Linked DNA regions of Daphnia pulex. The main gene of each other region encodes a partner of the protein of the gene in region 4 in a complex. Links are inferred from orthologs where the notes say so. Each region holds a gene or a part of one and is shown on either strand. Other genes may lie near its edges.

Region 1 (7,902 bases), on a different chromosome or scaffold from region 4:
GACAGAGGAGGAACTGCAAAATATTCTAATACCAAAAATTGCATTCGGTTCCACCACCATATCAAAAGAAAAGTATTTTTTTTCAGTTAAAACGCAAACTTGATGGGAATTCTTGTGTTTTTTTTGTTTTTTTAGAAATAGGACTCGGGTCCGTGGGATGTGGATTTTCGAGAATACTGATGATCGTTTTTTCGGTGACGGGAGAGCGTACGTGATTGTAATCGGAGATGTTCGGTTCACTTCTAGTTGTCAAATAAAAACGATAACGACTACATCGACGGTTTCAACTATACGCAAAAGCGATTAAAACTACAGAGGTTTCTGAAACAAATGAGAAAAAACAAGCACCGATCGAGGTGATCCACAGAAACATTTTCTATCAAGACGAAACAACAAAGCTGCACTGAGAGGAAGGGACAAAAGAAGGAGTACGAGATGGGTTAGAACGAGTTAATCGAACAGCTGAAGATAGCTTGTAACGCACAGTATGATCAAGATCTGATGAAGTTAGTAAATTAAGAGTTGATTTGCCGAGAAATAGGGTGGAGGAGGAGAAGGGGCACTCGTCCACCCCTCAGGGTGAATTCACTTGATGCATACTTGGATCATAACCCATCGATGAATCGCCATAGCCCTACAAACACGTTTACATTAATTAATATGCTGAGATACCACTAGTTAAGTCATTAAAAGTAGTTTACTTGGCCGCCCATGGAGGAAGGAAAGTCACCACCGTTGAGTCCCATAGCACCGTACGGGCCTAAGGAATCTTGTGGACCCCTGAGTTCAGGACCACCAGGTTGAGGCGACATCATCGGTCCGGGAGTTCCAGCCATACTGTATGGCGAGGAACCTAACGAGAAAGAAAAAGTACGAAAATTAGAATCGCTCCGGTAATACGAGGATTTGAAAATCCTCAGAGTGGAAACAACTACCCGCGGCCTTTTTAGCAGCATACAGGTTGGCCTCCTCTTGGGCTTTTCCAATGTTTTTCTTGTAACGAATTCGTTTGTTACCGAACCAATTCGAAACCTTTTTTGTAAAAATAACAAAACATTAATGCGCTTATTCCTCTTAAAAGGATTTAAAAAGAAATTAACCTGTGAAACGGTGATCCCACATTTACGAGCGAGCTCTTCTTTGGCTTCTTCACTTGGGTAGGGGTTGCTTAGGTGCGAGTAGAAGTACTCATTCAAGATCTCAGAAGCTTGTTTGCTGAAGTTACGCCGCTTCCTCCTACATGATGAAGACATCGATAGAACAACACCTTTAATGGGCGTGGTCAAACCTTAAAAAAATAGCAAAATTTACCTGGCGTCGAGGAAACGAGATCGTAAAATCATAACGGCCTCGCAAGTGCTTTGCTTCAGCTGCATTTGGATGGAGCTAAACTTGCGATGAATGATCTGAACCATCCGCTCAATCTCCTTGGGTGTAATCGGACGAGTACGGGATTGTTCTCGGAGCAAATTCATAACATGGGTGGTGAATTCACTGCAAGCCTGAAAGCGGATGTAAAAATGAAATGGTTATTCTCCATTTTCTTGTCATAGAGGTCCAATAAAAAAATAAGCATTGCTAAAAATGTGTACCTGCTCATATTTCTCAAGCTCTTGATGGTAAATTTGACGAATTTGTGCCAACTTAGCCCTATAATCAGAGTGTTCAATAGCCGAGTCCGACATTGAGCCGCTTTGAGACGCTGCAGCTGATGCATTGGCAGCAGCACCGGCCCCACCTCCTTTTTCAGGACCAGCTACTCCTTCAGCAATCAACATGTTATCCAACCGCATGAGTTGCGGATCTGGAGGCTCCTCTTCTTGCGTGTTGCGTAGCGACAAAACTAAAGTGAGAGCACAATTTAATGTTACCATTCAATCACTTGGATTCATATTGAAATAGGGTTACCAGTTTTCTCTTTGATTTCACACAAGACAGAAAACAAAGCAGGTTTCATGCGATGACAGTTCAGGGTATGCTTGCGTGCTTGGGCTTCATCAAGACTCTGGTCTGTGATGTTCATGATCTGTTGCAGAATTTCTCCAATATCCTAAAAAAAAAGAAGTTTTACTTAAAAGGAAAAAAAGATTTTGGAAATGGAATTGTACACACCTGCTTTCGTCCAGTCATATTTTCAGAGTCTTGGTTCCCTCCATCAAGTGAAGCCATGTTAACCCCAACATTGACTCCGACATTGACAGGAGGTAACCCATACGGTGGCTGATGCATTAGTCCAACCTGGCCACCTGGAACAGGATGCATAAGTCGATTTGGATCATCCATCAAAAGCAATGAAATCTTCCAATGTCACTGCACAAAACGTATTGCCTTCAGGCTACAGGACCTGGCAATAAAGACCCTGTAAACAATGACTTTCCGTTTACTAACATCCATACATGTGATTTCATGAAATGTAAACATAAAATGAAATGTACTAGACACAACAAAGCACTAGTATTGCAAGAAAGCAATCGTAAATAACAAAAATTGGCTTCGGTTAATATAAAAATGCCAACGTCTTATAAAATGCCCAAGGCGACAAGCGTCCGCCATGGAAGAGAAGTTTGCTTGCGTAGCGTATTTCTTTCAATTAGAATAAAAACTTTCTTTACTGACTTGACACACAATTTGAAACCGGGAATTCACGAGTTGTTTAGTATTCAAACAGACTGAATCACATTTCTCAAAGGCTCATAAAATAATTACCAGAGATCGCCGAGATTATCGACGGGACAAAGCAAAAAAGACGCGAGAACGCGATCACAAAGGTAAGTATCGATAATTATATCGGGTAAGCCAATAATCGATGTACTAGAAACTCGCGATACTGTATTTATTTTTTATTTTGAATTTTATTAATTAAAATTTTATTTTTACAAATGAAAACGCAACAAGAGTAAAAATATAATGATGTTTGATGTTAAAATGTATTAATTTGACTTTAACCTCTATGAAGATAAATACATTTAAGTTACATAAGAGGCATTTTCTTGATAAATCGTCGATGCCACAAAAATGCTGTGATAATTGATAATGAATACCACGTTAAAATGTACGAAACGTGTTCATTTCTAACAGTAACAACTGTTTGTCCACCTACAGGTCCATCCGGTACTGTGCTATCAGCGTCCGCGTCAAAGAAAATTGGCGCAGTGTCTAGAAGCCGAGCCATTCCCTCCACATCTCTGTACGCAATATATATGAAGTTATCTAACTTTGCGAAAAATATAATTGTCTTTACCTGAAATGAAACATGCGGTCTTTGGGCTGATTTTGGGGTACAAACTGGGGGCGATTTTCATTAGAGCGGTACACTCCAATCAGTTTTGTTTCGCCTTCTCTTTGTCCATTTAGTCTGGTGAATGGATTCATTTTTTTACGAGGAATCCATCCGCGGTTTACAAGAACTGTGAGACTAAAAGTAACTTGTAGAAAATTGAGAAAATTAACTGTTTGAATGTCTTACTTGGAATCTGATAGTTTAAATGGAGTGATGACTAAATAGCCACTCTGCCCTGAAGACAACATCCCACCACCTTCATTTTTTTCATTTCCAACCAGTGATCTTGGCCCAATGTAAATCTCTTTGTCATGTTCAAATTTTCCATGGAGTTCAAACTTCCGGTATTCCATGTCAGATAGCCCTTCAATACTGTAGAGCATTGGTGTAAATATGCATAAAAGGGTAGAGTTAAAGAATTGTATCAGTCTCACTCTGTAGACTGAAATGGAATTGGTGGTGCAGACGTTCTGCTGGCAAGATGATCAATAACACCAAGTTTCCACTGACGTCTGAAAATCTGCCAGGTCCCAAGGCCGAAAGTGATGGCTGGAATAGCCTACATTTATTGGATCAATTTTTTGTTAAAGAACTATATGTACGTTTTATTTTTAAAATCGATTATCTTACCAATAACGAATAACCGTGAATTCCGATATCTACAGCATTTCTTTGCCCATAGCTTGAGGCTGATCGTCTTACGTAATTTTGTGTACATGTCTGAATAGTAGCAGAAAATGAATGTTGAAAAACACAGTTTTGAAGCTATAAACCAAATTACCTTAATTCTTCTAATTTTCTGAAAATGCCTTAAACTGAGCATTGTAATCAATTTCAATTTAATCTCTTTAGGAAAAGAAAAGGTCTTCACAAAAAAAGTGCAGAAGAGTTTTTGAATAACACTTGAACGATCAGAGACACCTAGCGCATTTTCAGATAAACCTATGGTGAATTGTCAGCTACCTGCGTTAGCAAGGTACCCGAAGGGATATTTGCGATTTTTTTTTCATTTAAAAAAAGAGATCAAAATAGCGTATGACCTACAAAAGTCTAAAAAAAGCTACATTATATTAAATCTAAAAATAGCCTTTTCAATAAGGTTTTGTTCAATTTTAAATACAGAGTCCGTGCTTAAGCAGCATCACACTTTGGTCTCTGAATTTAGAATTCAAACAAGTCAACTGTCAACACTCACAATAACACATCGTCTTTGCTTGTGAAAAAAATAGCAACCCGAAAGAATTTAAGTATTTTACCGATTTTACCCGGAAGTTTTCTTCACCTTTCGTGGTGCCGTGGTTGACCAGGGCGTCGTCTAGGTTTTGTCAACGACATTACCTATTTCTCCTCGCTGGTCGACTGTTGAGTAGAAATTGGGAATTGTCAGTTGTCATCGATAGTCATAGGATTTTCTTCGATTATTACTTGGAAGTCGCATTTAGGATTAGTGCGCCTTCCTCGACACGGAGGTCTTTTCTCCTCTGACACATCGCTCACCGATTCTGCTGATCGTTTTCGATGGGATGAATCCTTTGATCGGCTGTTATATGTCTGAACAACCAGTTCAGATTGCCATTTGTTTTTTCTTCGGTTTTGAATGTGGTTGAAGCGCGTTGAAAGCTTGGCAAACTCGTGACTTTACCGTCCATTCTTCACTGGGATTTTCACGTGAATAAAGAGGCCGGAGAGTGATGAGGTCTAAGTTCCGTTTTTCTTGTCCACAAGGCCTCATGAAATTCAGTTCTTCAGATAAATCTAAATTAGAAATAAAATAATCATTGGACACAAAATAATGCACGTTCGTGGAAAAAGAACCCTATAAATGTTACACACTAAAATCCCCTTAACCTAAACCGAGGGTCGAAGACTAAACAGAAGGTCGGGCCTATTGGCCCCCAGATTTCGGGAAGAAACGTCAAGACATCTATATTCATATCTATTACTTGCTGTGTTCATAATCATACCATACAATAAAAAATTTGTTTGTGTAGTAGTCCTACTATAAATAAATTTTCCTTTTGTCTCACCCAAAGTTTGTTTTACTGCTTAACATACACAGAATTGTTTACTACTAAGAAATAATTAAGTTATATATGCTGTGCTTACAACTTACAAGTTAATTCTGTAATTATTTACTCTAAGAAACTTTGTCGTGCAATACAAAATATTGTTACCTTTACTTCTACTTCTGGATATTGTTACCTTCCATTCCATTCCAGATTCCAGATTCCATTCCATTCCAGATTCCATTCCATTCCATTCCAGATTCCAGATTCCATTCCAGATTCCATTCCAGATTCCAGATTCCATTCCAGATTCCAGATTCCATTACATTCCAGATTCCATTCCATTCCAGATTCCATTCCATTCCAGATTCCGTTCCATTCCAGATTCCATTCCATTCCAGATTCCATTCCATTCCAGATTCCATTCCATTCCAGATTCCATTCCATTCCAGATTCCATTCCAGATTCCATTCCAGATTCCAGATTCCATTCCATTCCAGATTCCATTCCATTCCAGATTCCATTCCATTCCAGATTCCATTCCATTCCAGATTCCATTCCAGATTCCATTCCAGATTCCATTCCATTCCAGATTCCAGATTCCATTCCAGATTCCAGATTCCATTCCAGATTCCATTCCAGATTCCAGATTCCATTCCATTCCATTCCATTCCATTCCAGATTCCATTCCCTTCCAGATTCCATTCCATTCCAGATTCCATTCCATTCCAGATTCCATTCCATTCCAGATTCCATTCCTACTAACTCCTCCTCCTCAACCTCCTCAACCTCCTCCTCCTCATTCTTCTCCTCCTCAAACTCCTCCTCCTCAACCTCCTCCTCCTCAAACTTCTCCTCCTCATTCTCCTCCTCCTCAACCTCCTCACTTCCTCCTCAACCTCCTCCTCCTCATTCTCCTCCTCCTCAACCTCCTCAACCTCCTCAACCTCCTCCTCCTCATTCTCCTCCCCCTCAACCTCCTCAACCTCCTCCTCCCCATTCTCCTCCTCCTCAATCTCCTCCTCCTCAAACTCCTCCTCCTCATTCTCCTCCACCTCAACCTCCTCCTCCTAATTCTCCTCCTCCTCAACCTCCTCAACCTCCTCCTCCTCATTCTCCTCCTCCTCAACCTCCTCCTCCTCATTCTCCTCCTCCTCAACCTCCTCCTCCTCATTCTCCTCCTCCTCAATCTCCTCCTCCTCCTCCTCCTCAATCTCCTCCTCCTCATTCTTCTCCTCCTCAAACTCCTCCTCCTCATTCTCCTCCACCTCAACCTCCTCCTCCTAATTCTCCTCCTCCTCAACCTCCTCCTCCTCAAACTCCAGATTCCATTCCATCCCAGATTCCATTCCATTCCAGATTCCATTCCATTCCAGATTCCATTCCATTCCAGATTCCATTCCATTCCAGATTCCATTCCATTCCATTCCAGATTCCATTCCATTCCAGATTCCATTCCATTCCAGATTCCATTCCATTCCAGATTCCATTCCATTCCAGATTCCATTCCATTCCAGATTCCATTCCATTCCAGATTCCATTCCATTCCAGATTCCATTCCATTCCAGATTCCATTCCATTCCAGATTCCATTCCATTCCAGATTCCATTCCATTCCAGATTCCATTCCATTCCAGATTCCATTCCATTCCAGATTCCATTCCATTCCAGATTCCATTCCATTCCAGATTCCATTCCACATTCCATTCCATTCCATTCAACATTCCATTCCACATTCCATTCCATTCCATTCCACATTCCATTCCACATTCCATTCCATTCCATTCCATTCCACATTCCATTCCATGCCAGATTCCATTCCATTCCAGATTCCATTCCTTTCCAGATTCCATTCCATTCCAGATTCCATTCCAGATTCCATTCCAGATTCCATTCCAGATTCCATTCCATTCCAGATTCCATTCCATTCCAGATTCCATTCCATTCCAGATTCCTTCCAGATTCCATTCCAGATTCCATTCCAGATTCCATTCCAGATTCCATTCCAGATTCCATTCCATTCCAGATTCCATTCCATTCCAGATTCCATTCCATTCCAGATTCCATTCCATTCCAGATTCCATTCCATTCCAGATTCCATTCCATTCCAGATTCCTTCCAGATTCCATTCCATTCCAGATTCCATTCCATTCCAGATTCCATTCAATTCCAAATTCCATTCCATTCCAGATTCCATTCCAGATTCCATTCCATTCCACATTCCATTCCATTCCACATTCCATTCCATTCCAGATTCCATTCCATTCCAGATTCCATTCCATTCCAGATTCCATTCCATTTCAGATTCCTTCCAGATTCCATTCCATTCCAGATTCCATTCCATTCCAGATTCCTTCCAGATTCCATTCCATTCCAGATTCCATTCCATTCCAGATTCCATTCCTTTCCAGATTCCATTCCGTTCCAGATTCCATTCCATTCCAGATTCCATTCCATTCCATTCCATTCCATTCCATTCCATTCCACATTCCATTCCACATTCCATTCCACATTCCATTCCACATTCCATTTCATGCCAGATTCCATTCCATTCCAGATTCCATTCCATTCCAGATTCCATTCCATTCCAGATTCCATTCCATTCCAGATTCCATTC
Region 2 (6,868 bases), on a different chromosome or scaffold from region 4:
TAATCATGCATGAAATGCCAAGATAGCGAAGCATGTCCGGCGTCTACTAACTTCATGTAAATGTTGTCAAACTTTTTCTACCTTCATTGCTAATGCTGTTCGCAATGTTCTAGAAAGTCATAATTAATATAAAAGTGAAGGTCCGTTTCTTTTGGTAATTTTTTATGGGATGTGAATTCAGAATAAATAAACCAAGTGACAGAATGCGTTTGATTATTATGTATTTAGAAGTTGACAGATGACGCTGACATATAAATACCCACAACTTAAATCATTAATAAGCCATTGGGAAGTATGGGAACTATCTAGAAAGGAACAATATGTAAAATCAAACAGAGGATTAAATAAGTTATATTTATATCATCATTTTCTACTGATAGCCATGTTAACTTCAATTTTCATGTCTCCTATATGGCGTGATATCATCTGCATATCAGAGGTCTCAAAGAAGATGGGTAGAACAGCTTAAACCGAGACAGCATTTTATTTATCACTAAGGGAGGATTTGCGATTTGGTTTCGTCAACTAAGATGGAATCTCCATTCTTATTTATGAAATTTACCCGTCAAATTCACCACTTTTATTTGATAAAGATGAGATATGTTTTACGATTGAGGGCAGTCGATAATTACACAATCAATTGAATATGTCCTTAGTACTGTTTTGGTTTAGAAGTTGTTGTGTTATAACAACAGAGAGAACAGGCATGAAAGAAAAACACAATCAATCGGTAGTTAAATTTCAAAAAAATGGGTCGAGAATCACAATGACGATAATCAAGATTAGTTTTCATCCGACCCTTCGGAGTCTTCCGACTCTGTACATGGCACAGAGTCCAATGGATCTTTCAATTCAACGGCGGTCGTGTTCTCCGAGTCTTCATTGTCCCACTGCGTCGGTTCCGGCATTTCCATCGCCTTGTTCCGCAAGGCTTTCTGCAAATATAATAAATAAAACGAAACCCAGTTAGTTGCGGCCTTTAACACAAAAATGGCAGACAAATGACATTCTGTTAGTATAAATGTTCCGTGTAAAGTTATATGGATTCGCATTCGACGGGAGGGTGGGTGTTTTCATTCCACAATCAAAATCGGCAGAAAAGAGTCGCCTAAACATTTAAGAAGGTCGTTGGATGGCTCATTTGATGGCTCTGTTGGTGTTTCTGTCGACTCCGCATTTTGGTGGTCCGGAGAGCTTTCGTCATTATCTTCTTCACCATCATCATCTTCATTCAAATTTAGCGGCTTCCCGTTGACTGACACGATGTTGGGTTTCCTGCCACCGTAACGCTTGAAGAAATCTGCTTGGTTCTTCCTACGTTCGACCTTCAACTGTTCCACAGCTTCTTGTTTATCTCGTTCGATTTGAGCCAGATCAACAACCAGCTGGACACCCTTCGTCGATTCGTCCCACCAACCGTAAAGCCATTGGCCTCCATTCTTTTCGCTTACCTTATGATCGTTTTCGGCCATCTTGTTGAAAATGCTAGAGTACAATTTCTTGTCCTTTTCGCGTTGCTCGCGAATCTTGGCGTTGCAGATCACCACTTGATTGGCGGCCGCCTTGTTGTTTCAATCAAGTTGGAGAATCGCCTCGAAATGTTTCTTGGCGTCCTCCAGCTCGTGGATGCCCAAAAGTGCCTACAAATGGAGAGACAAAATCTGTGAGTAATAAATCAGAACAAATTGCTGGTCAATTGGTACGGATACCTGGCCATGCGGAATAAACCCTTTTCATTTTTCGGGTCCATCTCGAGCGCCTTGTGGCAATGATCACGAGTTGCACAGAAATCATTTAACTTTAAACAGCACATGGACTGATTGAGATGTGCTGCCAGCATGAGCTGTTCTCGTTCCGTAGCTTTCTCGTCTTTAAGAGCTGAAATAAAAACGAAAAGTTTTATTTTTTTACAAAATGAAATCAAATTGTTGCGAAAAGCAAAACTTACTTTTTTCAAACTCGAGGAGGGTGACAATCTTGGAGTAGGCCTACTGTTTGTTAGCCAGAGCGTATTTGGTAGTTTTAAAATGATTGATTCCTTTTCCTTTGCAGAGTTTAGCCTGCTCCAGCTTTTTCTTCGGCGTCCATGCTCCAACTCTCTTTGGCCTTTTCAAAGCTCTTGACTCGAGTTCAACATTCGAGGTTGACGTTGGGAAACACCTTGTTTCTCGTAACCGGCAGAGCCGAAACCGTATGCAGGTGACAACTTAAGCAAGCTCCAATCTTGCTTCTTGAATTTCAACAGAGCCTATTCAACACCGTTGGGAATGTTGTGTTCTAAATCTTCTCCAAGGTTGAAGCTTAACTCAAGTTGATCATCAAATACCGTGTCTCCGTGTCGACCGAGCAGTAAAACTAGAACAATTAAAAGGGAGAAAAAGTAAACTATTGTTTAATTTTCACTTTAAATAATTCAGTCAAGGAAGCATACCTTCAGCAACAAGCACCTTTTCATTATAGGATTTGAATGACTTTAAGGTTTGATTTATAATTCCTCCATCACTTGCTTTGGTGAGATCTTCTATCTTTCAACCTAAAGACAAATATAAATTACAGAATTTATATAAAAATGAACAGTGTGGATCTAACCATACCTCAAACATCAGCAATTGGCATTTGAGATGAATTTTTAGGTGGACTTCCATTTTCACCGTAAGCATAATTGGATTAACAAGACAAGACTGCACACTTCAATGGTATTTACTCCAGTAAGGTCTTGCATGTCTTTTTTACACTACCTGTAGAGAATTACATTTAAAAATGTCAATAAAAAAGACATGAAAATTCCAATGAAAAAGACATGACGAAGAACTATCACTTGTCAACAACACGGCCGGCTGCTGGTACTAGGCGCGGCCCTTCCCCGTAGTACCCAAGGCACAGGCAGTGACTTCAAAAACAAAAGACTGCTGTGAGGCGCGATCCTTTTCCAGTGTCCCCCTAGCGGCAGGGGCCAATAGCAATTTTGGCTATTGGCCCCCGAAATCCGGGGGCCAATAGATTTTTCCTTAAATATTTGTCACTCGATGATAACAAAAAAAACTAACGTTTATTGGAGAACTTTACAGTAAACACTAGGTGACGTTGACATAGGTATGATTCAAACAACCTAAAATTCAGTTGCTAGTCCAGCTAGTAAGTTTTTCTCTTGAGGTGAATGCACAATATGCCAAAGCTAGAGCAAGACCACCTGCTCCACCTTTCATGCAGCTTTTCAGACCTGAAGTTGATTTATATAATAAACCAGTAGCAGTGGCAGCAGCTAATGTATTGATTTCATCCTCAGTATCCCTTATCCAGTTAAGGCCAACTCCAAAAGCACTGTACATCACAGCAACAACACCAAGAGTATTTGCTGTTCCAGCTCCTTGCTTCATAACATAGTTGATCAATCTGAAATTTAAATATTTCATCAATAGGTTAAATACATGGATAAGATATTGAATAAGTACTGTGTTCTTCGAAGCTTTCCAGTGTGACCGGCTACTGCTGTGTCTTTGATTCCTCTCACAAGACCAGTAACACCTCCAATACCTCCACCGATCATGCACATCCCACCTATCGAAGAAAATGCTAATTCAAAACGTCCTCTATGGCGACTAGCTCCTTCGGGAAAGATGAATTCTGGTTGACTACTCTGCAAGTATGATGGATCGAAGTTCAGATACGGTGAAAGGGGGGCCAAGTTTCTGTTAGAATACACTGAAAATTCGATATTTTAAATTATGACAAAAGTGATAAATACTAAAATTTAACTTCTAATCTACCTGATGAGTTTAAGTCATTCTGTCCTGGGTCCATTTTTATGAAAAATTACTTCAAAATGGTTAGAAAATATTATGAAACCAGCACCGGCCGGACCTGTCGTTTGGGAAACGTGGATCGTCTGCAAGAATCAACTTCTCTGTTGCCAGATTATTTTTTAACAACTACCGTTTCGGCGTTTCCCCCCCCCCCCCAAAAAAAAAAAAAAAAAAAAAAAAATATATAAAAAACATTAGATCGATAAACAACCAGATAAACTCTTTAGTATTAAACTACTACTGGATCATCGGAAACATACGTAAGGTGAAAAAACAGCGCAATAATTACGCAATAGCTCAAGATTTTACTTTTAACCTTTGTGAGCATTTTTGGGGAAAAGAAAATGAAAGTAAAGTATGTAAGTATCGCATATTTGGGATTTAAACTTGAAACTGCTTGAAACCCCCTTCTTCGTTATTAGGGAACGGAAAAAAAACCAGGTAGCTACATTTTAAACCTAAAGTTTCGTAGACTAAAGGGAGAGTAGTACTAAAAAAGTTTCCCAAGAGAGGATGAAATAAAGCCAAGACAGTGTACCCACAGAAAGCGACACGAACAGAAGCAGGTCATCCATGCTCCCTACAATAAGCTGGACGACTTGACAACGGAGACCAATTTTTTAAGTGTTCAACAGTCGTCGCCGAATATTCAGTGGTCTCACAACGCAGTATTGATTTAGGAGGAAAACAAACTAAAATATGATTCTCATCATAGTCTTGTCTCTTTTGCAAGCAATTGTTGCGCTTGTTTCCAATTCCACAGGATCAAACGAATTATTTGTTCTAGATGGGCATCCGCGTGGCAGAAGGGCTGTGCTCGTGAACAGTGACCCCAACGAACCTTGTCGAATCTACGGCCATAGGTACGTGTTAACCTTCACGATTCCAACCCTCACAACGCCTCAAGGGAAAGTTCTTTTTTTAGTAACCCCATACAGGTTATTGAAAATCTACCGGACGGTCCAAGACTCCGAACAATCAATCAACAAGAATGGTTGACAATTGCCGCTGATTGTCAACAGCGTTTGCTCACTCTCAATCAGAAGCCGACCACTGCCAACAATCAGATAGATTTCATTTACCCAGGTAAACAAAATGAAAAAAAAAAATACATTATTAGTCCAATTGAATTTCAAATAACAGTTCGTTTGATACCCAAACAGGCACCAAATGGTGTGGAACAGGAGACGTTGCGAATAATTTTAAAGATCTAGGACCACATGCCGCCACAGACATGTGTTGTCGAGATCACGATTTTTGTCAAGACACTATGAAGCCTGGAACTTGCAAATATGGTTTGTGCAACACCTCAGTCTTCACTAAGTACGTTTTCCTACAGTAAATGTTTTGTTCACTGTAGTTCTAATAAAAATCCAAACTTTTCTTTAAAGGTCCCATTGCGATTGCGACGACCGATTTCGTCAATGCTTGCTAAATGCGGCGAATGACCCAGCTAGTGTTCCAGTGGGTTTCATCTATTTTGACGTTGGTTTTATAAGCTGTTATCGCCAGACACCTGACTGCGTCAATAAAGTATTCAGGTAAGATGCGCAATTTTGTCCGAAAGACAACTTTTGAGAGACCTAATGAAATTGAAATAATCACGCAGGGAACCAATAGAACTAACTAGGCGGAAGAAACGACAAAATCAATCGAGAACCAGAAATTTGCAAAATGGATGGTGTTTTATCCCGCCTCAACCGTTTAAAAAATCGGCAATGGTCCGTAGAAACCAACCTGACGGTATATTCCGGCACGTCCTGTCAACTATGAGTGATGTTTCAACAATGGTGAAACAAGTGGCTGGATCTACCTTGTCTGTGCAGTCTGGAAAATGAGGGGCATACGGAATGTAAAGCCTTTACTGAATTGGCTGTAAAATGTTCTACCTGAAAAACCCTGTCGAATAAAACAAAAGCAATACAACTATCGATCGGCTCATTAGTTTTTACTTTAGGGAATTTTTAATCCTTTGACCTGATAAATTTTATGGCATGAGCCGCCATCTCGTCTTTCTGGATTTCTAGACAGATACTAAATGAAAATCTAGAAACGATTTTAACAGTCAGTAAGGACAACACTTCAAGGCCAATGACAAAGCTTTGTCAATAATAAGTTGTAACCACCAGCATCAATCAACACAGATAATACAAAATCAATAATTTTTACTAAATTTAAAATGCAATTAGTACTTGAGCGCTCTTGCGATGTTACAAAGAGCAAGACTGGCATCATTCTTTGGAAACTCGCTCAACATTTGTAATGCTGCGTCGACGTGTGTGTCGCGCACAGCTTGAAAATTTGATATCACTTCTTCGAAAGGAGTTCCTGGTGGGAAGAGTTTGAACAGGACATGATCCGCCTTTTCTTTGGCGTTCTTGTAGCTTTGTATTTCATTGTTAGCCTAATAAAAAAATCATTAAAAAATTTAACCACCAAGTCTGATCGTACAGAAATAAAGCAGTTTTTACCTGCCAAGCCAAGGCGATTTCAAGCCCAAAATATTTACCGAATTCAACAAGTTCTACGTTATCCCCTAGAATTAGAGATGACTGACATGCATGGGCTAATAACGTCCCATACCTAAAAATTAAAGCGTCTTTTTAGTTATAATCTGGTCAAACTAGTCATTAAGTATTCATGCCTTAGTTTTGATTGATGCCTCCATCTATCGAGAGCACTGTCTGTTTCATTTGCCACTATGTCAATGAATTCTGCAGTACTGAAGTCTGATATTGCCTGAGCAATTAGCTCTACAACCTGTTTGTGGAATATTAATTTAAAAGAGTGTTTAAATTTTTATAGAGTTCAAAGTACAAGATTGAAATACTATAGTCTACCTTAAGATTTTGTAGATTAGCAAGTAGTACACAAGAACGGGCCAATAAAAAATCCCCACATAACACTGCCATTTTGTTCCCCATTTCTAGACTCTCATTTGGTGTGTTAAGGTTGATGACTCCTGTATGAATCAAGTGAGCTGCATGAACCAAATCTGTGATCTCTCCAAGTGTTCTCTGTTTTGGCAGAATGTCTTGAGTTTGATCAATTTTTGCAGCCTTGGA
Region 3 (7,859 bases), on a different chromosome or scaffold from region 4:
TTAAATATCGATTAACTGAAAAACGCCCTTTCTGCCTTTCTCTCTGTAATTTTTACTCTTTTATTTGACGCAAAAAGTAAAAAATTGTAGAATAAGAAAATACAAAACAAATGACTAAAGCAGTGAAAAGAATTGTATTAGAAAAAATTTTGATCAAAAAGCGGTGTAAGATAACTTTAAAAAATTTAAAGTAGCGAACTTTTTATTTGAATAATTGAATATATATGATCTTCGATTGAAAATCCCCATCGCAGTTGACCTCATTTCTTGCCAAAAAAATTAAAAAACGTAGTGTAACTTGGCCCTTCTTTGCCGTCAATGTGCGAGGTGACATCATACTTCATGCGAGGATCGGCTCCCGAATTGCTGCTGGGGTGTATGGTGACCTTTGTGTGAGCTTCTACTTGTTTTCCTGGGTGATACTTTTCGGTAGTTCTAATGAATTTCCTGGTTTCAAATTCATTTTCTTTGTAAGCACCTCTGTTGAAATTTGGGGATGATAGGAAAAGATTATCTTTGTCTTTTCCCGATCCTCCAAGCATGTTAGCAAAGACATGACTAACATCACTGCCTCTGCCTGCTCCCATCTGTCTTTTCTCTTCACTGGATATGGAAACTTTTGATCCGTGACCGAAATTTTCCGATCGAATAACAGTAGATCTTGTGCGAACTCCGTCTTTGTCCTCAGCCGTAATTTTTAAAGACTTTCCATTCGACATTCTTGTTATTGTTACGAACTGGGCAACTGGCAATCTAACAAGCAAAATAACTTTACTTTTTCGTTATAAAGAAATTGGTTTGCCTCGGAACAATCGAAAAAAATACTTACAATTTAGAGAACTGAGTAATCGTGTCGAAACGGCTCAAGCAAAGAAACGGGTCTGAGACGAGTGACAAAATCTTCCCGTCTTTAAAGGGAAGCTGTCTGACACATGCCAGACGTCTATTTATAAACAAGAAACAACGTATTGAACTTGAACCGCCAATAAAAGGTTGAACTCGACTCTCGAACCGCCAAAAAGAAAATTTCTAGTCTGCTTGGAAAAATCGATTCTCTTAAACATCGATTATCAGACAGCAGAGTGAAAAAAAAACAAAAAGTTTTCGTTTCAAAACGCAGGCTTAGTGTTTACAGTTTTTCTTTTTATTCTTAATAGTCTTAATAGTCGCCTCAATGGAAGTTCAGACAAATAGTCACGACATACTTTCGGCCTCGTCGATAACGGCTGATTTCCAAGAACCTAACGATTGGACATATTCGATGAGAAGGGAAATGCAAGAAATTGTCAAAGGATTGTTCCTTGGGCCCTACTCGGTTGCAGTTCGATCCAAAGTATATGGTTTGCATAGATCTTTTATTCTTGCATTAGCCAATGTAATAAGTATAACAACATTACCTTCTTATTTTTTTAAACCCCAGGAGAACTATCTTGAGACTCACGGAATCACTCATATCGTTTGTGTTAGACAAGACATTGAATCTCACATGATCAAAACACATTTTGTTGATAAATTCCAGTAAATTAAATTATTCCAAACAAGGAACAAATTGTATGGACTTATTTGTATTGCACTTTTTCCTCAGATACCTGGTTGTCAACGTGAAAGATTCAGTCACAGAAAATATCATTCAGCACTTCCAAAAAGTTAAAACTTTCTTGGATAGCTGTTTTTCTGCAGGAGGCAAAGCTCTTATTCACGGTAATGCTGGCATATCTCGAAGTGCTGCCATTGTTCTGGGCTTTCTTATGCAAAAATACTGCCTTGACTACAGGTATATTTCTCAACATTCATTCATATATAAGCAGTAAAGCATGACATTCTTTTCAAGCTCTGATCTAATTTTTTTATTTATTTACAGAGAGGCTTTCAGTTTAGTGCAACAGAGAAGGTTTTGCATTAATCCCAATGAAGGTAGGTATTTTTTTAAATTGTTGCATCTCAGTTCATTAGAATAATAGTCTCACATAGCTCAAACTCTCTTAATAGGATTTGTTCAACAGTTAAAGGAATATGAACCTATCTACAAAGCAAACTGGAGTGTAACAAACAATGGTCAGTGCTCAAGGGAGCAAAGCACTTGGAAACGGAAGCGAGACAGTATCGAAAATGACGATGCTATGGACGAGTGACGCGTTATCCGACATGAGAATCAATAAAAACGTTTTGCGTATGCTGCACAATTTTTTCTTGACTGTTCCTTGAAGGAATAAAACAAGTGATTTTCAAATGGTTTGCAATCTTTTTAAGTCGATTACCGGTCCAAAGCTTTAATCCATTTATTTGACGACTAATAATTCAATGCAGTCTAGGAATATCAATCCAGCACCTAATATTTTACCTAAATACTCCCATACGATACGGTATTTAAGTTTCTATCTTCAATTGTATTGCAACAACTAATCTAAGTGTAAATTACCGTCGAAGCATTTTATTTAGTCCAACGAAGGTAAAGTATTTGTTTAAACTATTGCGATTGAGTTCACTGGAATATTTACAGATTCTATTCAACACTTGAAGGAATGTGAACCCATCTACCGCGCAAACTGAAGTGTAACAATTGCTCAAAAGAGTAAAGAACTTGAAAACGACCGAGACAGTAGGTATCGACGACGCTTTATATGGACGGTTGACATCCTGTATAAAATATGGGACAAAATGTTTTCCCGTTCTTGGCTGTGCCTCGACCCAATGATAAGAGTATTTTTTTTTCTTTCAGAAACTTTCGATCGGTGATTTATTCGAATTAATATACTAGAAACGAGACTTGCTGAATCAAAATCGCCGACCAAATAGACCACGGGCAACAGATGTAGCTGGTAGAATTTGTTTCTCTTGATTCATTCGTTCCATCAGTTCCTGTTGTTCCTGCACAGCAACAAAATTGGGTAAAAACAAATTTAAGAATTGGATGATGGATTTACACTTACTTGAAGTTTCCGTTGATTTTCCCGAAATGCTTCGATAGGATCGTCGAATTGGTTGTAGAAATCCAGCACTTCTCGCACATCTTGGACTTCTGACGTAGCAATTGCTATTCACCAGTAAAATGCGTTACTTCATTAGTATTTTTTTCATACTATTTCTTAGAAGGACATTTACTTTTCAATAGTAGAGCCAAGTCGACAAGGGTCCTGTCATCATCGTTACCCTTCCATTCTTTAATTCTAAGTGCATTACGAGGATGCGATTTGACTGACTGGGTGTTCCAATCGAGGACAATCACTTTTGATGGATCGCGATTGATGCAGTCAAGATCTTTCACGTGATGACCATCAACATACCGAGTAGCGTCGCGGAAGAGTCGGTACATGATGTAACCGTTGGGATCCAAGGCGTCTAATATGGGAAAGGCCGTCTAAAGAGGTAAAGAAATTTAATTATTTTGTACCGAGAACGTGAAATTTAAAAATGGTACTTACAAAGGCTTGTTCAGCCGTGTAGACAACCACTTCAAATGCGGGTGGACCCACTTGTGCCAAAAAAAAATCTATTCCTGGCCTCTTCTTAAACCTCCAACCAGTTTGATACTGAAATTAAGAGAGAGAGCAAATGATTATGATGTTTCATTTGAAATGCATACAGTTCAACTGATTAATTACTGTCCAATCTGGGTGGACTAGAACACCAGTCATTTCCAAGATTAATGTGTAAGGAGGCTGATAATATGGCTCTTTCAGAGGATCAGGTAAAAGTTTATCTCTTGAAGGGTCTCTAATCATCTGAAAAGAAAGCCAAAAACAATATTAAAATTAATTGAAATGTTTTAAAAATCTGACAGTCAGAGATGCTTACTTGACTATAGTTCATTATGGCATTCCATGACCTAAGGATATATTGTAGTGCCAGAGGTTTTGAGCTGAATTGGTCTTCTATCACATTGCCCTCTTCATCTCTCTCTGGTGCTCCCCATGTGCCAACAATGTAACCACTTAGGCCGCTTAGTGTTACTCCAAAGAAAATAAGTGTGTATTTCATAGTTCTCCAACTAGCCTCTGCTTCCTTTTTCTTTTTGGCTTCTTCATCTTCTTCACTGTTGTTTTGTTGTTGTTGGCCAGGTGGAGAAGACTTCAGCTTTCCTTCGGTTTCATTTTGGGACTTTAAAACCTCTCCTGCAATTCCCATACCTTGAAATGAACCTAATATTGGACTAGCTGCAGCCGGTTTGTTCGCCGTCGTCGTCTGTGTCTCGTTGCTGCTGTCGGACTTTTGGCTGTAACACCTAAACTGTAAGTGCCTGGTAGCTAAGAGAATGTTACTTATTTGCTTTGGTTGACACAGCACATTTTGGGGAATTGTCACTAGTCTGTGAAAATTTCCACAAGTCAATTTTGTACCACTTATTTGAGATAACTTTACGAAACTCGTGACATATCTGGAGGCAGCCATTTTTCTTGATATTTTTAATTTTCTCAAGAATCTTCTGCAACATTTGTGTAGTTGTCAGATTGCTTCTTTATTCCAACCGTCGGGTAAAAAAATTCAAAAATCCAAAATCTATTTCCTAATTCCTATGGGTCTGTAAAATCTAAACGCGGTATATTGCGATTACGATTGTGAGTGCAGGATGCTGAGAACAAGAGATTTTGCATTCATATTTTCATGCCTTATTTTTGAATGGCCTTGCATTATTGCCGCCGCGATACTTCTTCGTCTCAAATGGAAAATGTTAAAAGTGTTCAGCTGTAGAAGGTAACATTTTATCGGTTTTATTTACATTCGGATTTCATACTTGACTGAATTATCTTGGTATAGTTAAAGTTAACCTTGTAGTTTCGTTTTCGACATTTTCAATAACGTTTTATTAGTGAGTGTGTCGGGGTCTCTAATGCTACTTGATATCACCGCGATGCAATCGGTTACATGTGATATGAATGCAAAGAATGCGCAAATGCAGGATTAATTTGTTGATAACATACAACTTATCGAGGATCAACAACCTCTTTATTGCCGCTATCGTGTAAAGTCCTCTTTAATAATTGCTCTCTCATCTCAGTGAAGCTCATTCTTTCCAGACTTGTAGTGAAATTTCATACCGTTCCTTGACTTTTCCCAGACGGTAACGTCGACCGATCCTTTTGTGAAAAGCCAAGTATGAGTTAATCCAAGACTTCTAATCTGAAGTCCAAATATTGCTACATACGATGTTATTGCTTCATCTTGTGTGATTGTTTTTAAGGTTCGACCTTCGTCAAAACTACTTATCACTGCATGTCAGTTTGTTGTGTACGTACCTTAAAACTAGTTCAATGCTGGTGAAACGGGTGCACTTGAATTTAAGATTCTAAGGTAGTCTATAGTTTCTCATGACTGAGTCCAAACACGTTCGGCCATGATTGGTAAGTTGTTTTCAAAATGCCGCTTTTTTTGTATTTAATTTTTACACATGAAATTCTCTAATTTAATGCTAAAACTTTGTTAAATAAGTAAACCATTTTTATTTCTTTTACCCATATAGAGGAAAATCAACTGGCTGTAACGTCTGCAAGTGGCGTCGTTTTTGCGATTCCTCCGGGTCATCCAGGCTGGATAGAATCAACATTTTGCAAGCGAGAATGCTCCAGATACGTTTGCAGCTCCGACAAAGGCCCACTGTGTACTTGCGGCCGAACGTGGACGTATCACAAGACTCACGGAATCAAAAATGTTGGCGTGTCGGAAGAAGTTTGGTCCCCTGCCCATCATACTGTCAGCAGCCCAACCGACTCTTATGGCACCATCGATTTCTTGGGCGGCCCACATCCCAATAAAGCTCAATTCATCCGGCTGGGCTTTGATTCAGGCACCGACCATATTTTTCAACTGCTGACCCGTGAATGGGGACTTGAATTACCTAAACTTGTCATCTCCGTACACGGTGGCAAAGTTAATTTTAAACTTAATCCACGACTCAAGCTCGTCTTCAAAGAGGGACTCCTTCGAGCAGCTAAAACTACGGGTACTAATTAACATTAGATGACTAACGAAGCTTTCACCTCATTTCCACTTCCGACAGGTGCATGGATCTTGACGGGTGGGACCAGTACGGGAGTGACTCATCATGTCGGCGATGCTTTGATATCAGAACGTTCTCCTCGATTACGAAGTGGCCGTGTCGTCAGTATCGGCGTCGCTCCCTGGGGTGTGGTGGAAAATCGAGCTTCACTGATCGGCCGGAAGAAGGATGTCGCCTATCAATCGATCGATCATCCGCGTTCCAAATTCGCTGCTCTCAACAATCGACACTCGTATTTTCTACTGGCTGACAACGGAACTGTGGGTCAGTTTTAATTGTTCATTTATCCGTGGATTGGTCATATTCAACTGTTTTCTCCAGGTCGTTATGGAGCGGAGATCGCCCTGCGGAGGAAACTGGAGAAATACATATCCAGCCAACGGCTTCCGGCTCGAACTAATTGTTCTATTCCTGTTGTCTGTTTGGTCGTTGAGGGCGGAATGGACACTATCAGGACCGTGCTGGAATACGTAACGGATTCGCCACCTGTTCCAGTAGTTGTGGTGGAAGGCTCAGGCCGGGCAGCTAATCTGATTTCCTTTGCGCACAAATACGCCAAAGAGATGGAGGAATCATCGACTGCTTTGGACGGAATACGAGAACAACTGCTGGCTGAAATCCAGAAAACATTCAATATCAGTCAGTCTCAGACGAATAAATTGCTTGCCGAACTTCTACAGTGCGTCGAAAATGTGGATCTCATCACCATTTTCAAACCGTCAGAGACCTCGGAATCAAAGTCACTGAATCAGCTGGATCGTGCCATTCTTTGTGCACTTTTCCGTGCCCGTTACTTGACAGCTGCCGAACAACTTAGTTTGGCTTTGGCTTGGAATCGAGTCGACATTGCCCGTTCCGAGATCTTCATTTACGGCCAAGAGTGGGCCGATGGAGCCCTGGAAGAAGCCATGATGGAAGCCTTGGCGAGAAATCGCGTGGACTTTGTAAAGTTGCTGCTGGAAATGGGTGTGCAAATGGCCAAATTCTTAACCATCCATCGATTGGAAGAACTTTATAATTCCAAACAAGGTCCAGCCAATACGCTGAGGTACATCGTTCGTGACGTCCGTCCACATTTGCCTCGCAACTATTCTTACAGTCTTATCGATATCGGCTTGGTCGTCAACAAGCTGATGGGCGGTGCTTATCGTTGCTCCTACACCCGACGGAAATTCCGTCACAGCTACACCGACATGATGAAAAATTTCACTAAAGAAACTCCGAGTCGCAATGTTCTAAACCATGGATTAAGGTAAGGATTGATAATGTCAAGTCTATGATTATCGATATCTTCACTAATCATAAAACGCTGTTCTTTGTTATCCAGTCAGTATATTGAATCCGGCCACCTGAGCCTCATTGAAGACCTTCAATATCATGTTGAGCCATCACACAATATGTTTACTCAGCCATTCAACGAACTTTTGGTTTGGTCCGTGTTGACCAAACGCCAAGATATGGCCAAGTTGATGTGGCACCATGGAGAAGAATCGTTGGCTAAAGCTCTGGTGGCCAGCAAACTCTACCAAGCCATGGCGATTGAAGCAGCTGATGACGATTTAGAAGTGGAAATTAGCGACGAGTTGCGCAGTTATGCGGCCGAATTTGATCGCGAGGCTCTCGAGTTGCTCGACTATTGTTACCGTCAAGATGACGACCTCGCCATGCAATTGCTGACCTGCGAATTGTCCAACTGGTCCCGGCAAACTTGCCTGAGGTTGGCGTTTGCGTGTAATCACCGAGAATTGCTGGCCCATCCAGGTTCTCAGTTGATTCTGGGTGATTTGTGGCTGGGCGGATTGCGGACTCGTCGCTCAACCAACTTGAAAATTGTTCTGGCCATCATCTGTCCACCACTGATCCT
Region 4 (7,868 bases):
ATGAATAATAGGAGAGGCACGTTCGTTTTCAACACCGCCTGTGGCATCTTTGTCACCTTCTTTTCGCGTCACGCAATCTTGGCGCATCAAAGTACGCGTTCTTTTCTGCTTGGAAAGAGGTAGACCACAGGACGCGCCATTTTCCATCATAGCGGTGGCAGTATCCAGAGAACCAGTTGAACAAATTGGCTATACAATGAAGAAACAAATAAGCTTTCATAGTAGTTAAAATTAGAAAAAATAGCAACTCACTGGTTTAGAATCGTTTTCTCTAGGGAAAAAATATTCGTTGTCAACATTAGATTCTACGGAACTTTGCCCCGCAAGACTGCTTTGTGATTTGATGACCGAGTTGCTATCTAAACTACTTGACGATCTATGATACAAGAGTTACATGTCAGAAATAATCAACAAATTCTGATAAGTGGAGTAAATTAACCTCATAGATGAGTCTGTAGCTTCCTTGCTACTCTGAAAGTTTTGTCTCTTTAACAGCGGTGAATGAGACGATAGTTGCTCTTGAGACCCAGATTTCATTTGGCTGCTTCCTGATCCATTTCTTTGGCGTTTACGTTTGGCAGCCAAGGAACAATCGTCCAGAAACTCTTGTGAATGTTCTGAATGCTGTCGACTTTCAGACAGATTTTCTAGCGGCTGATTTTGTTGGGTCAGAAGTGCCGCACTAAACGATTCTTTATCTGCTACGTCAGCGAATCCCTTGACATGTAGAACCTCTGCAGTCTGTTAAAAATTGTGAGAAATATGACAGTTAAATAAACATTTTTGAACAAACAAACATCATATTAGTCATATTAGTAGAATTACGAAGAGTATTTGTTTAGCCTGATTTCTTCACTGTAAATTTCAAGCAAAAGTTAAAAAATCACAATTAACAGCATCAAAAACTTTTTATCCAGAAATTAATATAAATTTCTCTCTATATTGTTAAAGAATTAATCACTCACAAAACAAATGTTTGAATTTACCTTTAGAATTGAATTCAGTTGATCGTGTTGTATGTTTACTTCTCCATAATACATAAAATGAATGACGGTGTGAAGGTCTTCAAATTTGATGTCTTTAAGTAAGACAATTGGATGCTGGCATGGATGTGAAACAAAGAGCTCCTAAAGTAATAAGCAAAAATGTAGTTAAGAAATTGCAGTATTCACACACATGAAACTTAATATACCTGAAAATAAGTGCTGCAAGCTGACAATACAACACGATGAGCCTGGATTTGTTTTCCATCACAAGCCAGTGTGACATCCACAAGGGATTCTGTATTCAACAACTGAGAAAAAACACTGACAAAATTTGGCGAGTGGTTTTTCCAGTGTAAACGAAATAACTGTTGTGAAGTCATTCTTGATTACGAAATTAAGTTCGAAGCACACGGGGAAACTATTCCAAACCAACATGTGTCAATGATACTTCTTAGCTTCTACGCACGCTTAAAATGGGCTTGTTATTACAGCAGCTATATCAACTTCTCCAAAAAGTGAATCCCGAATCCCGATATTCCAAAGCAAATCTCGTTTCAAGGTCTTGCGTATGCCCCGCCTGCTTTCATTGCGTCATAGAAAAACCATGCGTAATGCATAGACCACCGCGGCATTGATTTCCATTTCCCCTGAGGTGCTGCTGGCTGGTCCTGTGGTGCATAGTATCCGACTACCCGTGCTGCCGTAGTATACTACCCCACAAATTTGCCCTTTTGCGCCGCTTCGAGCTCTGTTTGTGTGCTGTTTAGTTTACTCGATTAGTCATATAATTTCTATTATGTCACACACTCACACGCGAAAACTTATTCGAAATTGTATTACGTGTACTGATTGGATTATATTTATGTAACCCATGTTAAACTTAATTTAATTAGCAAAATTCGGTGATTTGGATTTTATGGATGCGAAAAACGAGCAATGATTTAAAGAACAGCCATATTTTGAAATCTGGCATCCTGCAAGGGCGTTGCATCTGACTGTTTTTTTTCCTTCTTTATTCGTTTGTTTTCTCTTTTTAATCAAAAGTTTTAGACGTTTTATTGACGGAATTCCACCAAAACTGTAGAAAATATAAACACTTCTTCGCATTCAGCGGAGATGGATTTCAGCACAAAGTTTTTAGCGGCTATATTTTACTTCGTTCTATTGCTCCACTTTGGTAAGTTGTATCCCTCTCAAGTCATGTTTCAAATACATATGCCAACTATTGGGGGGATTAATTAATTTATGTAATTATTTTTGTTAGGTGATTCCCTCGAATGTTATGTATGCACCACACAAAATGGAAATACGGAAAAGTGTCTCAGAACAATTAGAACTTGTGAACCTGGGGAAGACTATTGTTTAACCACAATTGCATGGGGAAGTAAGTTACCCTTCATATGATTATGTGTGATTGAAACAGGATTTCATTCACAACTGGGATTTTTATTATCTTACTCCAATAACATATGCTCATTTTTGTCACTAGGCCACCCATATTGGACTATTAATGCTGACAAACAGTATTATGTCTCAAAACAGTGTGCTACAAAGAGTTTCTGTGAGAAGACTTGGAATGAAACACTTCCTTATTGTGAAAGAATTTGGTATCTGGACTGGAGATGTTCAGAATGCTGTCAGGGTGATCGTTGCAACTACTTTGTTACGGTACAACTTCAAGTTTTTTATATGAGTAATCAGTTATACATATAATTCTTTTTTATTACAGTTGACAGGATCTTCATTGAGTTCCAGTTTAAACCTCATTTTTATTGGTGTATTAGCAATTGTTGCCTATAAGTTTATAGGACGCTCATAATGGTAGTTTTTCCAATGACACATTTTTTGTGAAAGTGCATCTTAAATATGTAAAACCATACCGTCCATCGCATCTTCTGACTGAAGAATTCCAGCCAATGAGAGTTTTAAAAATACACACAATTTACAAGTAAATGATTTATTTATTACCAATTTTTTCTCTGAAGCTACTTAAAATTCCTGAAAGTTCAATTCATGTTTTCTGTTATCAATTAAAAAAATCTTTTCTTTGGGATAATTTTCTGTCTCTGCCACCAAGTATTTGTATTCGAATTTTCCGTCTTTTTTTTCCATGACCGCATGAACTGTGGCTTGGTTGCGTATCCCTTTGACATAGAACCTAAGGAAAAAAGAAATGGAAATGATGATTAAATATTTTTCTATCAGCAAGCAAAACATTTTGTGAGTACCTGATTTGTAGGTGTTCTATACCATCCTTTATGTACAAGCTATGCCTGAATATGTTAGAATTTAATTAATTAAAGTACAAGTTTAAAATTAAATTCAGAATTATAATAAGTATTGTTGTTGAATAATACTTAACCTGAGATTAGTACGGCCTCTCCGCCCAGACCCATCACAGAATCCAGTTATTGGTTCTCCAAGCAAATCTTTCATTCTGGGATACTCTGTACATTTTTTTAAAGCATCTGAATATACTGATTGAGGGCTTTCGCTCCAGAAAAGTTCTTTAAACACAGCAAAAAGAAGGGCACCAGTTGCAAGGAAGCCTAATACAACAATTCCAGTGTACCAGACAGTTTTACCAGCATCTTTAACTGAAAAAAAGTAGAAAGTTATACACAACCATATTTTATTGATCTCGACTAGTGATAAAAATACCTTTGGCTCCTAAAGGAACGCCGACTTGATCATTCTTTGAAGTTGGCTGCACAGACTTAACCGGTGTCGTTCCTCTTTTCTCAGCTCCGCAAAGGTTTTGGTGAACATAGAGGCAACGGTAAGTTTGTCCCCTAATACTAGGGCTAACTCTAGATTGCAAAAATAAACGGAAATTTTGGTACAACATTTATTGCAAATTTTACTGCACAGTTCATAAGACAATTGGCTCTTTGAAGTTATTTCTTAGGGGCACAGTGTTGATGTTTATTTTCCTTTTGCCATGGAAACAACGTTGCCGCTGTAAAAAAAAGATGGTTTATCCCGCAGTCCCCCCGCTTCAAAATTTTATAAAGTATATAAACAAAACGTCGCTAAGGAAACTGAACTTCTAAAAAATGATAACTTTACAAAATAAACTACAAAAAATGTTAGTACACGATGATATTTAATATTTTATTCAAAAGAATTGCTACGCACGCACTAGAGACACTAACAGAAGCTGAGAAGCATCTCCGCATCGTCCAACAGGTTCAACTGCTTCATTTAGTATTTAGAATCTGAAATACCAAATAGAATTTGAAAAATACAACAGAATGTTTCGGTGGGGGAAAAATACAGCTTCCATGGCGACAAATTGAAAAAAAAAATACGTTTGATACACTTTTACTATTATTTTAAAGGTCATCAGGATTTCAACCTCCAGAGAAAAGTTACAGCTGCTTAGAACATGGGACCAAATAAAAGATGGTCAATACTTACAAAACACATATTTAATGCTTTTTTTAAAGCCAATAGTATATCCAAACAAACTTTAAATTCCCTATCATGACTTATTCTGTTAGTCGTGTAGCCGACTTTTTTCTGCGTGATGTTGCTTGTCATTTCTCAGTCTTTTTGGGAATGAATCTGGTATAAATCGGCAAGTCCCAAGGAATGAGACATCATTCTGTAAACGATACGGCAGCGATTACACTTAAAAAATGTCTAGACTTCTGCGAGGAAATCAATTACAGATTGCTATCACCACGTTTATGTTGTTTTATCCTTTATCTTCAAATTCGATTATCCGGAATGGACTGAGCGGAGCATACTTTCGAGTGTCCGCTCATCATGTAAGTTTCAAATAAAAGAATTTTCCATAAATTTGAATGTGGAAGTTTGGAAAATTTTAACTAAATTGCACAACTTTATCCCTCATTTGCAGTTCCCTCCTTATCAACTTTTGATTTATGGAGCTAATGGAACCTTTCGTTATGTTGGAAGCACTCCCAATATAATCTACTGGATGGCAGAAAAATTTAATTTTACGTAAGATATCATTCTAAACTATCGCTGTAAATGGCGGGCAACAAATCTTTCCCCGTCTATCTCGCTCTAGGTATGATTTATTCCCGGTAAACAACACCGAGATTGCTAAATTGGGAACCGTTCTAGCAGGTCTAAATCAAATCATCAATAAAGTAAGTAAGCCACATCCCTGTATATTTTAACAGTGGATGCTTTGCAAATCGTAAATGTTTCAATTTACTTAGGAAGTCGATATTTCCACTCTCTGCTTTCTTCCCACATTGGAAAGGTTAACTATATCGGACCAGTATCGGTAGTGGAAATTTATTTAACTAACTTAATTTGCAAATTTTTAATTCCGTAGAACTCAGTATATGGAATTTTCATATCCGGTAGCAATCGAATCCTATAAATTTATGGTCCCTAAACCAGATGAGGAAAGCCGACTCTGGGGTCCGATCAGACCTTTTCAGTATTCGGTAAGTAAGCTATATAGCTGTTTTCAAATTATTTCTTTTTCCCACATCGAATATTGAGATTTTGAAAATTGCAGGTTTGGGGTTGCATACTATTGAGTATCGTGTTTGTACTGGCGGCTTTCTCATATTTGTCTTGGTGCTACTCTCATTGGCCTAATTTACCAAATAATGAATTTTATGGTGCAAAGAAGAACATGTTTACCATCTTCGGTAGTTACGCGATGTACATTGCTTCTGTCTGTACAAATCAAGGTATTCATTGCTGAATACAGCACTTAATAGATAAAACTAGAAAGAATGTGACACTCTGCCCTGGTTACCTAACTATTATTACATAGGACTGAACATTAATGTCCGTCAAACTTCATTTCGTGTTATGGCCGGGATGTGGTTATTGGCGGCCACGGTACTAGTCAACTGCTACTCCGGAACTCTTATGTCTTCATTAACTTTGACAAAATTCAAGCCTACCGTGAATTCTTTGGAAGATTTAGCGGCCAGTCAGGATTTGACTATGACAGCCAGCGCCAACAGTGTCATGGCTAATACGGTTCTTGTAAATGGCAGCATTGACCTATTAAAAGAATTTGAATAATTAGTAAAGGAATATTTTTGTTATACTTTACAGAACACCACTTCCGCTACGTTGAAAGCCATAGGAGACGCAATGCGCAGAAAACCAGAAAGCATTTACCCCACACCAGAAAAGGGCGTGTCCAACATCTTTTCTTTGAAGTACGTTTTCCCTACAGTAAGTTTCTCCTTCTCAATTCGAAACAATTTTTTTTTTATTTTGAATTATATTCTTTAGTATTGTTTGCTTTCTACAGGTCGAATCATACATAGCTTACTTGATCAACATCGATCTAAAACAAAGCAAGAAATGTAGATTTCACGTAACCGGTCGTATTCCAATATCAGAGGGGGCTTTCACTCTTGGATTACAGAAAGGCAACAAACTCAATCAACTATTTAGCGAGAAGTACTACAATTGATTAGCACACTTATACAACTGATCTAAATGATGGACGAAATTAATTTTTTAGGCTTCAGCTTCTTTGGGAGACTGGTTTAATGATTAATTGGCTAAAAAATAATCTACCATACGTAGACAAGTGCCTGGCGAATAGTAAGGAATCAGCCCGTCAGAAACCCATAAAGCTCGTTGATTTGACCAGCGCGTTCTTCATTCTTGGTATCGGGGTTTCCTTGGCACTGTTAAGTTTCTTAATGGAAGTTTTCTACTTTCGTTTTTGAAGTCAGTTAACTATGGTGGTGTCGGGAGCCATAATTTACGAGAACGAGCTTATGAGAGTATTCGAGGAAAGAAATAGTTATTGTAATAGTCATTCTGGTATGATTTTAATGCCAGATAGGAAAGCATAAGTATTATAGTCAATCTATAGCTATGTTATAGTAGTAGGAGTGTACACAATTTATCCAATTACAAGTTATACGAGGAGATGACGTTGCAGTGGTCCCTCTCGAAGTCTCGGTCATAAAATTTTCCAGTTGCACTTTGCTTTTAGTGTTGAAAATTAAGTTTTTTTTAAATTTGAAAATCATTCAGCAATCTTAATTTTGAAACACAGGTTTTTCAATAAATAATCATTACATTGCTGTTCCTCCAATAAAACCAGAATATTTAAAATTACAAGCAAGAATATTATTGCAAAGTTAACTATAAACTACAATGATATCCAATGATAACACCGAAACAGAAATAAGCACGAAACAGCTAAAAAAGACTTTAATGGAATAATGAAATTGTGTCTATTATCTCTACCATGTTTTCTAATATTAACACGATCGTTTTTCACATACACCTGTGATTTTCTTACAGGAACAACATTGGATTGATTTACTCACAAACAACCTATGTGATGTTTTAAAAATTCAACATTTTTTTAACTTTAACCTTTAAAAGCAAAGAGCAAATAGAAAATTTTGTATTTAGGCCTACCATGTTTTCTGATATCACTGATATCTCCATTATTACTTTCCATATATAGATTGTGAACACAGAAATACTTCAACAATACATTTAATCACTTAAAATTGTGTTTTACCTTCAGCTGAATTTCGAAAAATTATCATTCCGTTTTGTTTGTAATCTTAAACACACAAACTTCGTCTCTCTCTTTTTGAAACTTGTAAACATAACGAAAGCAGACGACACTTTTCTTAGGAATCGATTGAAACCATTTAATATCGATCCCTTCCATGTAAAACTATGACAAACGGTAAAAGACTAAAAGCGCAAGTGGTTTAGTCACACGCGCTCGACATCCGCTGAACGGATCGGGATTATTTTAGTATCAAATAGTTACACTAAGCCCCCCCCCTTACCTACCACAGTCAAATAAAAAGTAAAAATTTGCACGAAATCCCCGGATAATTTAATTACTTTTAGACCGAAACCACCAAAATAAAACTCTACAGGACCCTCTTGAAA

The links.
Region 1: mitochondrial import inner membrane translocase subunit Tim21-like (region 4) and surfeit locus protein 1-like share a complex: the UniProt entries of both Homo sapiens proteins name them as parts of the MITRAC (mitochondrial translation regulation assembly intermediate of cytochrome c oxidase complex) complex. The link is inferred for Daphnia pulex from reciprocal best matches to the Homo sapiens genes TIMM21 and SURF1.
Region 2: mitochondrial import inner membrane translocase subunit Tim21-like (region 4) and mitochondrial import inner membrane translocase subunit Tim23-like share a complex: the UniProt entries of both Homo sapiens proteins name them as parts of the TIM23 complex. The link is inferred for Daphnia pulex from reciprocal best matches to the Homo sapiens genes TIMM21 and TIMM23.
Region 3: mitochondrial import inner membrane translocase subunit Tim21-like (region 4) and mitochondrial import inner membrane translocase subunit TIM50-C-like share a complex: the UniProt entries of both Homo sapiens proteins name them as parts of the TIM23 complex. The link is inferred for Daphnia pulex from reciprocal best matches to the Homo sapiens genes TIMM21 and TIMM50.

What each region holds. Positions count from the first base shown.
Region 1 is NC_060023.1:11,352,317-11,360,218, reverse strand, and holds surfeit locus protein 1-like, read right to left. Parts: upstream 4,787-7,902; 5' UTR 4,104-4,786; coding exon 4,062-4,103; intron 4,001-4,061; coding exon 3,911-4,000; intron 3,840-3,910; coding exon 3,715-3,839; intron 3,653-3,714; coding exon 3,467-3,652; intron 3,416-3,466; coding exon 3,242-3,415; intron 3,186-3,241; coding exon 2,972-3,185; 3' UTR 2,908-2,971; downstream 1-2,907. Other genes in the region: homeobox protein extradenticle-like, read right to left, coding at 575-634, 702-853, 933-1,032, 1,101-1,236, 1,312-1,502, 1,593-1,843, 1,909-2,050, 2,113-2,283. UniProt on the Homo sapiens protein: Component of the MITRAC (mitochondrial translation regulation assembly intermediate of cytochrome c oxidase complex) complex, that regulates cytochrome c oxidase assembly.
Region 2 is NC_060025.1:1,869,676-1,876,543, reverse strand, and holds mitochondrial import inner membrane translocase subunit Tim23-like, read right to left. Parts: upstream 3,926-6,868; 5' UTR 3,802-3,925; coding exon 3,768-3,801; intron 3,703-3,767; coding exon 3,453-3,702; intron 3,394-3,452; coding exon 3,117-3,393; 3' UTR 3,031-3,116; downstream 1-3,030. Other genes in the region: phospholipase A2-like, read left to right, coding at 4,503-4,666, 4,729-4,889, 4,967-5,126, 5,195-5,344, 5,413-5,641; all trans-polyprenyl-diphosphate synthase PDSS2-like, read right to left, coding at 5,989-6,207, 6,275-6,386, 6,448-6,563, 6,644-6,868. UniProt on the Homo sapiens protein: Essential component of the TIM23 complex, a complex that mediates the translocation of transit peptide-containing proteins across the mitochondrial inner membrane.
Region 3 is NC_060024.1:13,318,089-13,325,947, forward strand, and holds mitochondrial import inner membrane translocase subunit TIM50-C-like, read right to left. Parts: upstream 4,434-7,859; 5' UTR 4,390-4,433; coding exon 3,796-4,389; intron 3,723-3,795; coding exon 3,603-3,722; intron 3,531-3,602; coding exon 3,423-3,530; intron 3,359-3,422; coding exon 3,103-3,358; intron 3,035-3,102; coding exon 2,931-3,034; intron 2,869-2,930; coding exon 2,776-2,868; 3' UTR 2,721-2,775; downstream 1-2,720. Other genes in the region: serine/threonine/tyrosine-interacting protein B-like, read left to right, coding at 1,175-1,333, 1,421-1,518, 1,586-1,774, 1,862-1,914, 1,990-2,132; transient receptor potential cation channel trpm-like, read left to right, coding at 5,333-5,339, 5,459-5,938, 5,996-6,259, 6,317-7,247, 7,323-7,859. UniProt on the Homo sapiens protein: Essential component of the TIM23 complex, a complex that mediates the translocation of transit peptide-containing proteins across the mitochondrial inner membrane. Has some phosphatase activity in vitro; however such activity may not be relevant in vivo.
Region 4 is NC_060020.1:2,278,158-2,286,025, forward strand, and holds mitochondrial import inner membrane translocase subunit Tim21-like, read right to left. Parts: upstream 4,487-7,868; 5' UTR 3,835-4,486; coding exon 3,648-3,834; intron 3,584-3,647; coding exon 3,349-3,583; intron 3,260-3,348; coding exon 3,215-3,259; intron 3,145-3,214; coding exon 2,976-3,144; 3' UTR 2,806-2,975; downstream 1-2,805. Other genes in the region: protein abrupt-like, read right to left, coding at 1-189, 253-376, 440-741, 987-1,127, 1,193-1,366; uncharacterized protein LOC124192913, read left to right, coding at 2,103-2,163, 2,251-2,370, 2,476-2,654, 2,716-2,805; glutamate receptor ionotropic, delta-1-like, read left to right, coding at 4,628-4,759, 4,852-4,955, 5,026-5,107, 5,180-5,223, 5,299-5,413, 5,488-5,679; uncharacterized protein LOC124192910, read left to right, coding at 5,790-5,969, 6,042-6,164, 6,244-6,395, 6,460-6,670. UniProt on the Homo sapiens protein: Participates in the translocation of transit peptide-containing proteins across the mitochondrial inner membrane.